2 linked regions of the Drosophila melanogaster genome follow. The protein of the gene in region 1 purifies or fractionates together with the protein of each later gene. This does not show direct contact. Each region holds a gene or a part of one and is shown on either strand. Other genes may lie near its edges.

The links.
Region 2: the proteins of Cyp28d2 (region 1) and CG6656 purify together in Drosophila melanogaster (affinity purification with mass spectrometry, with the first as the bait; one large-scale study listed by BioGRID). This does not show direct contact.

The regions. Positions count from the first base shown.
Region 1 is NT_033779.5:5,205,265-5,209,888, reverse strand, and holds Cyp28d2 (cytochrome P450 28d2), read right to left. Parts: upstream 2,623-4,624; 5' UTR 2,582-2,622; coding exon 2,388-2,581; intron 2,232-2,387; coding exon 2,093-2,231; intron 2,032-2,092; coding exon 1,924-2,031; intron 1,867-1,923; coding exon 1,239-1,866; intron 1,169-1,238; coding exon 896-1,168; intron 834-895; coding exon 670-833; 3' UTR 544-669; downstream 1-543. Other genes in the region: Msp300 (Muscle-specific protein 300 kDa), read right to left, coding at 4,542-4,624. UniProt on the Drosophila melanogaster protein: May be involved in the metabolism of insect hormones and in the breakdown of synthetic insecticides.
Region 2 is NT_033777.3:21,873,659-21,878,588, reverse strand, and holds CG6656 (uncharacterized protein), read right to left. Parts: upstream 3,297-4,930; 5' UTR 3,100-3,296; coding exon 2,959-3,099; intron 2,875-2,958; coding exon 2,779-2,874; intron 2,242-2,778; coding exon 2,113-2,241; intron 2,015-2,112; coding exon 1,901-2,014; intron 1,829-1,900; coding exon 1,691-1,828; intron 1,594-1,690; coding exon 1,189-1,593; intron 1,123-1,188; coding exon 958-1,122; 3' UTR 801-957; downstream 1-800. Other genes in the region: P5CDh2 (delta-1-Pyrroline-5-carboxylate dehydrogenase 2), read right to left, coding at 12-91; CG34148 (uncharacterized protein), read left to right, coding at 1-102, 170-356, 512-642; CG31178 (uncharacterized protein), read right to left, coding at 3,777-4,430.

The sequences.
Region 1 (4,624 bases):
TACCCATTTTCATTTAACGAGTAATGGGTATAGATACTCTGGACAAACAATGTGTGTAGCACCTAAGTAGTTAATCAAATTTCTGATTTCATTTTTAATTGGCGCATTATCTTATCAACACTTACAACAACACTTCAGCCATTTTACTATCGCTCTTCAAAATACGTCAAGCAGATGTCATTCAGTCGATTATCCGATCGCGTCTTGACGTTTACATTGATTTCGAAATTTCTTACGATCTCCACCAAAACTGCCCTTGAGCTTGAGCCTTGAGATGCCTATGATGGTGAATCGATTTCTTTATATTCTTTATACACCCCTTGATCTATAATTCTATAATTCTTATTACTTTTTATTATAAAATCTCAATTAAATCTTATATCTTGCAAGTATTTAAAATCGGATGGCCAACCTACAACCGACATGTTGCGCACTAGCAATCGAACTTGTTGCGCATGCAACATCACTGTCGAACCATGTTCGATCGAGCCTTGTTGTGGATCATCCGCAACATTTGCCTTTCTTGAGTAATAAATCTCTACTGCATTTTATTTTTTTTTTATTATCATGCATTAATCAAGGTTAATTTTAATTTTTGTTATTTCGAGCAAACAACTTCTCTTTATCCAGTTTTTTAAGCTTAAAGCTTACTATGATTATTGCTATTATTTAAAGGTCCTTAAAGTCCAGGTAAATACCACCCTTCAAGGTGGCCATGAAGAAAGTATCATCTATCTGATTGTCCGAGCGGGTTTTAGGATTAACCTTGATTTCAAAGTTCCTCAAGATTTCCACCAGAGCTGCTTTAAGTTGAGTCAGCGCAAATCGCATTCCTAAATGTAGAGATCGACTTATTGTAGTATGTGATTTTCAGATAAATTTTTATAACACCAACCTGGACAGTGACGAGGTCCATCGCCAAAAGCTAGGTAAACACCCCTGTCTCTGTAACTTTTCATACCACCTCCATTGCTCTCAAGGAAACGTTCCGGCTTGAATGTCAAAGGATCCTCATAATACTGCGGATCGTGGTGCAGAGCTTTTACCGGTATAGTAACCACATCTCCGGGTTTCAAGTGCACAGTGCGTCCGTTCTTGTTCGCAAACTCAAAGGGTTCGGTGACCAGCTTACGTGCTGCAACTTGCGGTGAAAACAAACGCAAAGTTTCTAAAATTATAAAATTTTATAATGTAGTTAAAGAAACTGAATATCAAGAGATCAAGATAGAATTTCCCACCATATATGCAGGCGTCCAGATGCGGAAGCTCGGACATTTGATCAAAGGTCAGATCCGCACTGCCAATTTCCTTGCGGACCTTATCTTGCTCCTCCGGATTACGTCCCAGCATCAGCATAATATGCGCTAGAACTAGAGCCGTAGTCTCGAATCCGTCTAGAATGAAGGTCATCGTATTTATCAGGATGTTATCCGTGTGCAGGCCCTTCTTCTCCTGCAACTGCAGCATATAGTTGAGGAAATCGTCGCGCTGTTGCTCTGGTTTTTCCAGTCTCAAAGTAATGCATCGCCGGATGATGTCCAGGAAGAACACTTCCGTTTCCTTGTTGAAGAACGGTACGCTGTAGAACTTGCGCACCTTTTGCCACAGGTTGGTAACAACGCTGTAGAAGATGAACTCAAAGGAGGTATTGAACACACGCTTTATCATTTTCAACAGCGGCGTGGGAGTGTCCGTGAAACTCTGGGCCGATACTCCCAGTCCGCAGTCGGAAACTACTTCGGTGGTGTAGCAAAGAGACAGATCCATGGCGTCCAATCCCTCGGAGGTGGCCATCTGCTGCTGTCGCCTGATATATTCCACGAACTTTTTGCATACGCTCTGCGATACTGGATAAACGGCCTTGACCTTACGGAATTCAAAGATAGAATTTTGATTGGATAGATGGTTAATGTGGTTCCTTACTCGATTGGGGGACAGTGCTGGCATGATCTCCGACCTTCTTTCCTTCCACTCGTCGCCAGTTAACACGAACGGATTGTTGCCCAATATCATGTCCGTCTTTTTGTTCACCTATGAACATTGTAATTCAGTAATGGATTATCCATTATTTACTAAACTTACGAGTACTTACAAAATTACGCCATTCATTGTTATGAAAGCTACGGAAATCGGTTGCATAGATCTTGTGTATATATTCCGGACACATGACCAGCAATTGGGGCACTCGGGTGGTAAAAACGCCCACCATATTGTCCGTGTCTTTATACTTTCTGCAAAAACAAAAAGTTCACATCAAAAAGTAACTTATATTAGCTCTAGAGAAGACTGTTCTGATTTTTACACCCATTAAGTATAAACTGCGCTTTGACTCCACTATTATACAACATAACTATAGCTTGCCCTTCTCACTCATATTGTATACATACTCATAGATATCATCAATATCGTAGGCAATATTTCGCTTTCTTGTGAAAATGCTGGGAAAACTTCCAACAAATGGCCATGTGGGAGCCGTCTTGATGCCACGTTTTCTCCAATAGTTGAAGTTCCATGTCAGAAACACGTAGACCAGAACCAACAGGGTCAGCACGAGGACAAGAAATGTAGTTACTGGGCACATGTTGGAAGCTTATGGGCTACAGATTAACGCAGGGGCCTATATTTATGCCAAAAAAATAGACACGCGCTGGAAGCAATCTAATCGTATTTTAATAAATTTCCTCTTTTAAAATTTGTTTGTTTTTTTTTAGTCTGATTGCATTAATCTCGTAGCGCTCGATCAAAAGTCAATTAAACAAGATAGGTAATAAAATATCGATAAGCATGAAACCTGTAAAACCAAAACGTATATAGTTATGTCAATAGAGCTGCAGACATAAATTCAAAGGTATAAAAAAAACAATGTGTTTTATTTTTTATTTGTTTTTTTTTTTTTTAATAATCATAATGCATATAAAGGTACAGTTGTTCACAAGAAAGGAAATCTTAAAATGCTACATAAATTATATTAACTCGATAACGGCTAATTATTTCATAACCAGATAGAAGCAGCAAAGTACACAAATTTAACATTTAAATCAAACTTAATTTTATACATAGTAAATCGTTCATAGGCCTAATAAATAAATGTATGTATTTTCTCAATAATAATTGGCCAAGCATTAAATAATAGAAAATAGTTGTAATAAACAAGTTGGATAAGTATAAGGCAAATATAATTAGGATTATCAAAAAATATTAACAACAAAATAGGTATCTTTTACTGGATGGACTTACGTCACTTGTCAATATGCATATTGCATTTTTACGATTTTTTTTTTTCAAAGAATTAATCTCTTCTTTTATGAATTCATAATATTTTTGTTTTTTGTATACGCATTTTACATTTTTTCTTTATACAGAAAATTTGTAGGTTGGTTTAGCACCGGCATAGGACACTTGCTTCGTTTTGTTCAATGCTCGTGGCACGCACGTTTTCCATTTTCTTTTCTTTGAGAGCTGGCTTCGATGGTCAATGTCTATTGGTAATTTGGAAATGAGTATCAGGAATGCTTGAAATGTCTAGGCCCCAGTGTCGGGATGGAGTTTAAGGATTGATTTCGAGCCCAGTGACCTGTGGCTGGCGCACTGGCTGCTATCCCATCTAACCCTTGGCCGTGGGAGAGATCTTGGCCTTGGGTAGAGTGATCCTTCTTGACACGGGGTCTCTTTAGAAGCCGGAGTCCAAATGGAGGTCAATGCCCACTGTTGACAGCATAGCCCTGAGTTTGGGAGAAGGACGCGCTGGAAACTAGGAACATTGGTTGCCATGAGGATCTCCAGGCGATTGGTCTATGTGGGTCATGATTTTGTCTTGGGATTTCGTTTGCCTTTCTAGCCCATCGCTGGCAGCAGGAACTTGAGATCATATCCTGCGAAAATGTTCCACGAAATTGGCAGGATGCTAATCGCAATTTTCTGCTGCCCAGGATCTCTCTAAATGCGAAAACGTGCGTTGATGAGTAAAATGTTCGTGTGCGTATTTTGATTTCGTTTTAGCTTAGATATTTTTATATACAAAATGTTTGGGTTCTCTATAGTTTTTTTGGGATCATATACGTGGGTATATATGAATATATAAATTGTTTGCTGTGCAAATATATATGTATAATGTATATATCGTTTTACAAAAGGGTTTCGGTTACTTGTCGTTAGTTTGAATAGTTAGTTCATTCTGTTTCTTTTTATTTTTTTGTTTAATTCTTTTACGTGTTTCATGTTCGGCTTGTCGAGTCTGTTCGGTTCAGTAGGTTATATACAAATTGGTTGTTTTATTAATGCCTCTAGCTATCGAATGACTATAAAATTACATACAATTACAAAATGTGATAAACTACACAAATGTACAACTCTTCCATTTCGATATTCAACATTTTTTTGTTTAAATTTTTCTTACTTGAAATTTAGCTTTCAAAAGGCATCTTTAAACTGGGTTTTTTCATAGGGCGTTTTTCATAGGGGGTTCTTCTTAGGGTATAGGGTTTCTTGACTTTTTTTTTGATCGTGTTTCATTGCACTAATCCAATTGCAACTCGACAGCTTTACGTGGGTGGCGGTCCGTGGGGATACGACAACATGGGCTCCAGGCTGCGCGCAAAGGTGTTGGAGAACATACAGGTGTAGT
Region 2 (4,930 bases), on another chromosome or scaffold:
ATGCAGCTTACCCGCCTTTTACTGAAGCCTCGAGCCTCGGAAGTATTGACCGCATATTTGAAACAATGCCATGAGCCACCTTGGACATCATATTTCGTGAAGGTAAGACTCCCCTTTTTCCGCCCCAATATTTTCACCAGATCTAATGAGAAATATGCTCCAAGTCTAGTTTCACGATGTGGCCAACGATCAGAGGGGAATGTCTCACTTTAATTGGACCCTGGAAAACGGAACCAACTATCACATTCTTCGCACCGCCTGTTATCCCTATATGAAGTACCACTGTAGCAAGAGGGAGGTGCAGGATCTTTGGCTGGAGGACAAGTTCTTTCGCTTCCTTAAGGTGATTAATTTGGGTAAGTCCAGTAAACGGATTATGCTACATAGGTCCGTGGTAACTCGAAAAAGGTGTATGCCCTGTAATGAATCCCGAAATGCATATGGGAAAGTCCTCATTCGAGTTTAATCAAACTCCCAAAAGACCGCATTTATATCCTTAAATTCTACACAGGCTTACCAATGCTCTTCTATGGACTGGCTGCCATCCGTCTAATTAGTCACACCGAGATCGTTCATGTCAGCGAGACGGTAAAAGTTCCCATATACTTTCTATATCCTGAGGACAAGGGCTCAAGCTTTTGATTTGATTTCCTGAACTCCAAAATGTGAAATGTGAAGAAAAGCCTTCTTATCTAAATATATGCATATTCAGTTAATGTAATTAGAAGAGAACACTGGAAATATCTCATCCATATATGTATGTATTTGTCTTTTTGAGATAACTACACCTTGCATTACTTAGTTTGTCTACTTGACTTAGTTTTATTTTAAAGCTATTAATTGAAACCAATTATTTAAAATTATCCAAAATCACATCTGACTATTTCTTAGCAATGGCCAGACACTTAAACAACAACCCAGAACGACACACACTTTCAACAAAGTCTGGAAGGCATCTTATGTTTTGCAATCGGTCGGATGATTTTCACAAGTCTCATCATAGTTATCTAGAAGCAGGGCCTTTACAGAGGCCTCAAACTGGGTCAGTGAGCACGGTGCATCGCAATTGGGAATGGTCAGCTCCTTGGGGAATTTGTCTTCGCTGTTGTAGTAGTAAACCAACTGCAACCAAACAACCCAAACTGGTAAGAATCCCATAGTTAATAGTAATACGCTACCAATACCAACCTTCACTTCAAAGTCTCCATCACTGAAAGACTTGCTGTGATGAAGCTCGAAGGCCAATGCCGATGCATATTCCGGAAGCTTGGTAGTCTGGTCCAGTATGCCCAGGGAATTCATCACGTTAACCAAAGTCACATCATGACCGGAGTACAGGAATATTTTGCGATCGGGATTGAGATTCCTCTTGCGCTTATTCTGCATTTTGTTGAGTATATCCGTAAGGAAAGCGCCACCCTTAATCCGCTTCATTAGATTTGTTTCGGTGAATAGCATATAGCTACGTTCAGCTAGTGGCCTAATCTCCTCGGGGTATATATTCTCAGTCCAATCGGGCAGCACCAGATTAGCTTCCTCTTCGGTTTTGAGTGTGCCATAGAGTAGCTCCACGTCCAGTACATTTGAAATGTTCTAAAGGATAATATGATAATATCAGAAGTGAAAAAGTGAAATATATCGTATGGCAATAAAGGAATTAACAACCAATATGGGTGCAACTCTCTCCCACCTTGCCTGTGTTTTTGGTTAGCAATTTGTACAGCTCCATGTTGTCCTCGTTCAGTTTCTGGAGTTCAGGAGGCGGAGATTTGTAAAGCTTCTGCAGAATGTGGTCATATTTCAAGCACGGTTTCTTTTGGGCCAACAGCTAATAGAGTTAGATCATAGTACTATGATGATGACTTGCATTTGACTAATGGAAATATACAATTGCACTCACGATATCTTCATTGCGAGATAGCGTATTGACGGCCACCGGCTGCCAGGGAATGGGTAGCACATTCTTGTTCTCCAGCGGCGGCATCATGCCGGCCAAGACGCTCTGGGCGCTCATCTAAAAGATAACACACGGCCAACTGATTAGGGCACCACCATCTCGGACAGATAGCAAATAGAGTTATAGAGGATTTCTTATCGAAACAATTGACGCACCACACAGCGTTCCGCGGCCGAGCTGAGCACATTCACCTGCTGCTGGGTGTAAAGGCTGTTCGGAGGCAGCAGACGGTAGTAGCGCATGCGCAGATTCCTTCCCAGGTTGTACGCCTGCAGGCTGCCTTTCTGTCAAAGGGGGTTTAAGAAATTTGTAGAATATAAATATCTTTATTAAAATATATTAAATAGTAATGTATGTTTTACGTGTCTAGCATTAAAGTTTTAGATATCACCAACTTGCATCTATAATTCATTCTTCATTGATCATTTTGGATCATAAAATTAAAACCAAATTGGAGTTTTAAATGCAATGAAACACACTGTTTTACATTATTGACATTATTTATTTACATGATAACCGTTTAATAAATACTCTTTAAAGTGTAAAAATTCGTACGATAAAATGTGTTAATTGGAAAATAAATAAACATAAACGAGAGCGTTATAGTCTAGTTTCTCAGCTAGTGCAAGCAATAATATATCAAATAGTACGAAAATCAAACAATTTTTTTTTAAATTTCCAAAAGAATGGGCGTGTCAGTTTTGATCAGCCCTATTGAAAATTGATGTGTTATCACTTATACGTTTTGAGTTAAGAGAAAGAATTTAAAGTTTAGGTAGGATCCATATCCTAATCTATACTATTGTATATCGAATACTAACCGGCGTGAGGGCTCCCATCCCGCCCTGCCAGTCGTGGGCAGCGTGCGGATCCAACGGATAGAAGCCACTCGGATTCTTGGCACCATGTCGGAACAGCTGGTGGGCATTGGATTGGATTGATAAACACAGTGCTCAGATCTCGTTGTTTACAACTTTATGCCAGAAGTGGCGGCAGCTTACTATGGATATCATGCGTAGATTCCGCAAACCCTGCTCGTCGTTGCTGTCGCCGAACACAAAGTATGCCATCATGACGAAACAGAGGGCACTTCCCAGGGCGATCACCGATATTTTGGTGCCGCGTCGCGATTTGCAGTCCATTTTTAGGGAGGGGGTGCGGTGGCGTCTCTATGCTCCTGCTGCAGTTGATCGAGAAAATATATTTCAGATTTGCAGCCTAAAAATAGTTTTTTGTTTATTTTATAGCGAGTGTTTTCGATTTCGCTGCCCCCGTCGACGAAACAAATAATAAATAAATACAAGTCACGTCCGATGGCAACAAAAGCCGTATAACAACTGAGCGACTGTCGATGGAAGGTTGCCTCACAGCCAGAAAGAGAGGGGGCGCTAAGAAGCGAGAGAGAAGGCTATATAAAACAGAAAGAGCCAGCTAGAGACAGTCGGAGAGCCGGGGAGACAAGTTTTCCATGTGATTTTGGCATTGCGCGAGAGTAAAGTCTTTGAACATGTGCGAATAATTAAATTAGTCGCTCATTGGCAGTACAAATTGGGTCTCGACTAGGTGCTACTGTGTGCAATATGGTGGTCTATCAATTTGCACTCATGTGAAAAACATTGTTTTTCAAGTTATTTGTCTTGCCTTTATATCTTACCTTGCGACATACAACTATCGCTAATCATATACACATGTAAGTTAACCAAATAAATATTTATAAAATATATATATTTTGATCACTACAAATTCCAACGAAAAATCAAAGAGGGTAACGTTTTTTTTCTATAGTCAAACGTAGATGCTGAACTGAAATATGAGATATCTATTTTCTGGATTTTGGTGCCTGTTCCTCGGCATCCTCCTCAGATGGTTCGCTGGTGGGTTCCTCAACCAGGTAACCCTGCTCGGTGGTATATTTGCGCTTCTGCGATACTTTTCTTCGCCTCCTGAAAACCGATTCTAATTTAACGTATTCCCCCGATCTTGACTGCTCGCTAATCTCCACCGATGAATAACTCTTTGACGAACGCTGCGAATCGCCAGATTCCTCAGCTGCGCCGGACTCTGAATTTGAACGGTTTAAGCAGAGAACAATCTCGGGAATTTCATAGCCGTATCCCTCGTCGTCATCGGTGTGCTCATTCTCCATTTGAACATATTCTAGATTTGGCTCATGGAAACATGAGTTGGATTCAATGGTTGGATATATAAGACCAGTTTCCAGATTTTGCCTAGTTGGCAGAGCCAAGTGCGTTTGCATATCCGATTGATAGTGGATAACGCCCATTGGTCCAGCTACATAGGCGGCATTGCTATCTGGAATTGACCAAGTTGATGAAGCACTGGTCATTATGGAGTCAATACTATAGGAACGGATTGCACTCGCATCACATTGGATCAAAGGATACTCATAAATCCCGGGCATTATGTATTCGTAGTATCCCATAACGGTACGGCGTCGCCTCGATCCAGACATTTTGGCCAGTTTGCTCCTGAACAAATGGACGTCTAGTTAACCCTGATCCTGGATAGTTAATTTGCTCGATATTATGAATAATTCTAGTAGGAGAAGTCCCCAATTGGCTCCAGTTGATTAACAATGGCCACTCTCATTCGCATAAAATAGATGCGAACATTTAATTCCCACATCAAGTGAAATTCCAGGCAAAGTTCGATGATCATCAGTTTTGTGGATATCGAGTACCAGTTCTCTAGGGGATTAGGCAGTCTGCTGTAGCGTGTATGGGATTGCTGTAATCAGATGCGATGATGGCGATGTCGGCGGTGTCCAAATGAGGACTTTGTCTGCCGGAAACTGAAGACGAAACAAATTTGGAATTTCATTCGACGAAAATTTTGAACTTTGCTTAGCTTGCCTTAGTTACATGCGAACACTACCTTCACAGACAACCAAGTGGCATAAAAGTATAGGTTTTCTAGATTTTTAAAAATGTCCTTATTGATGTAGGCATTACA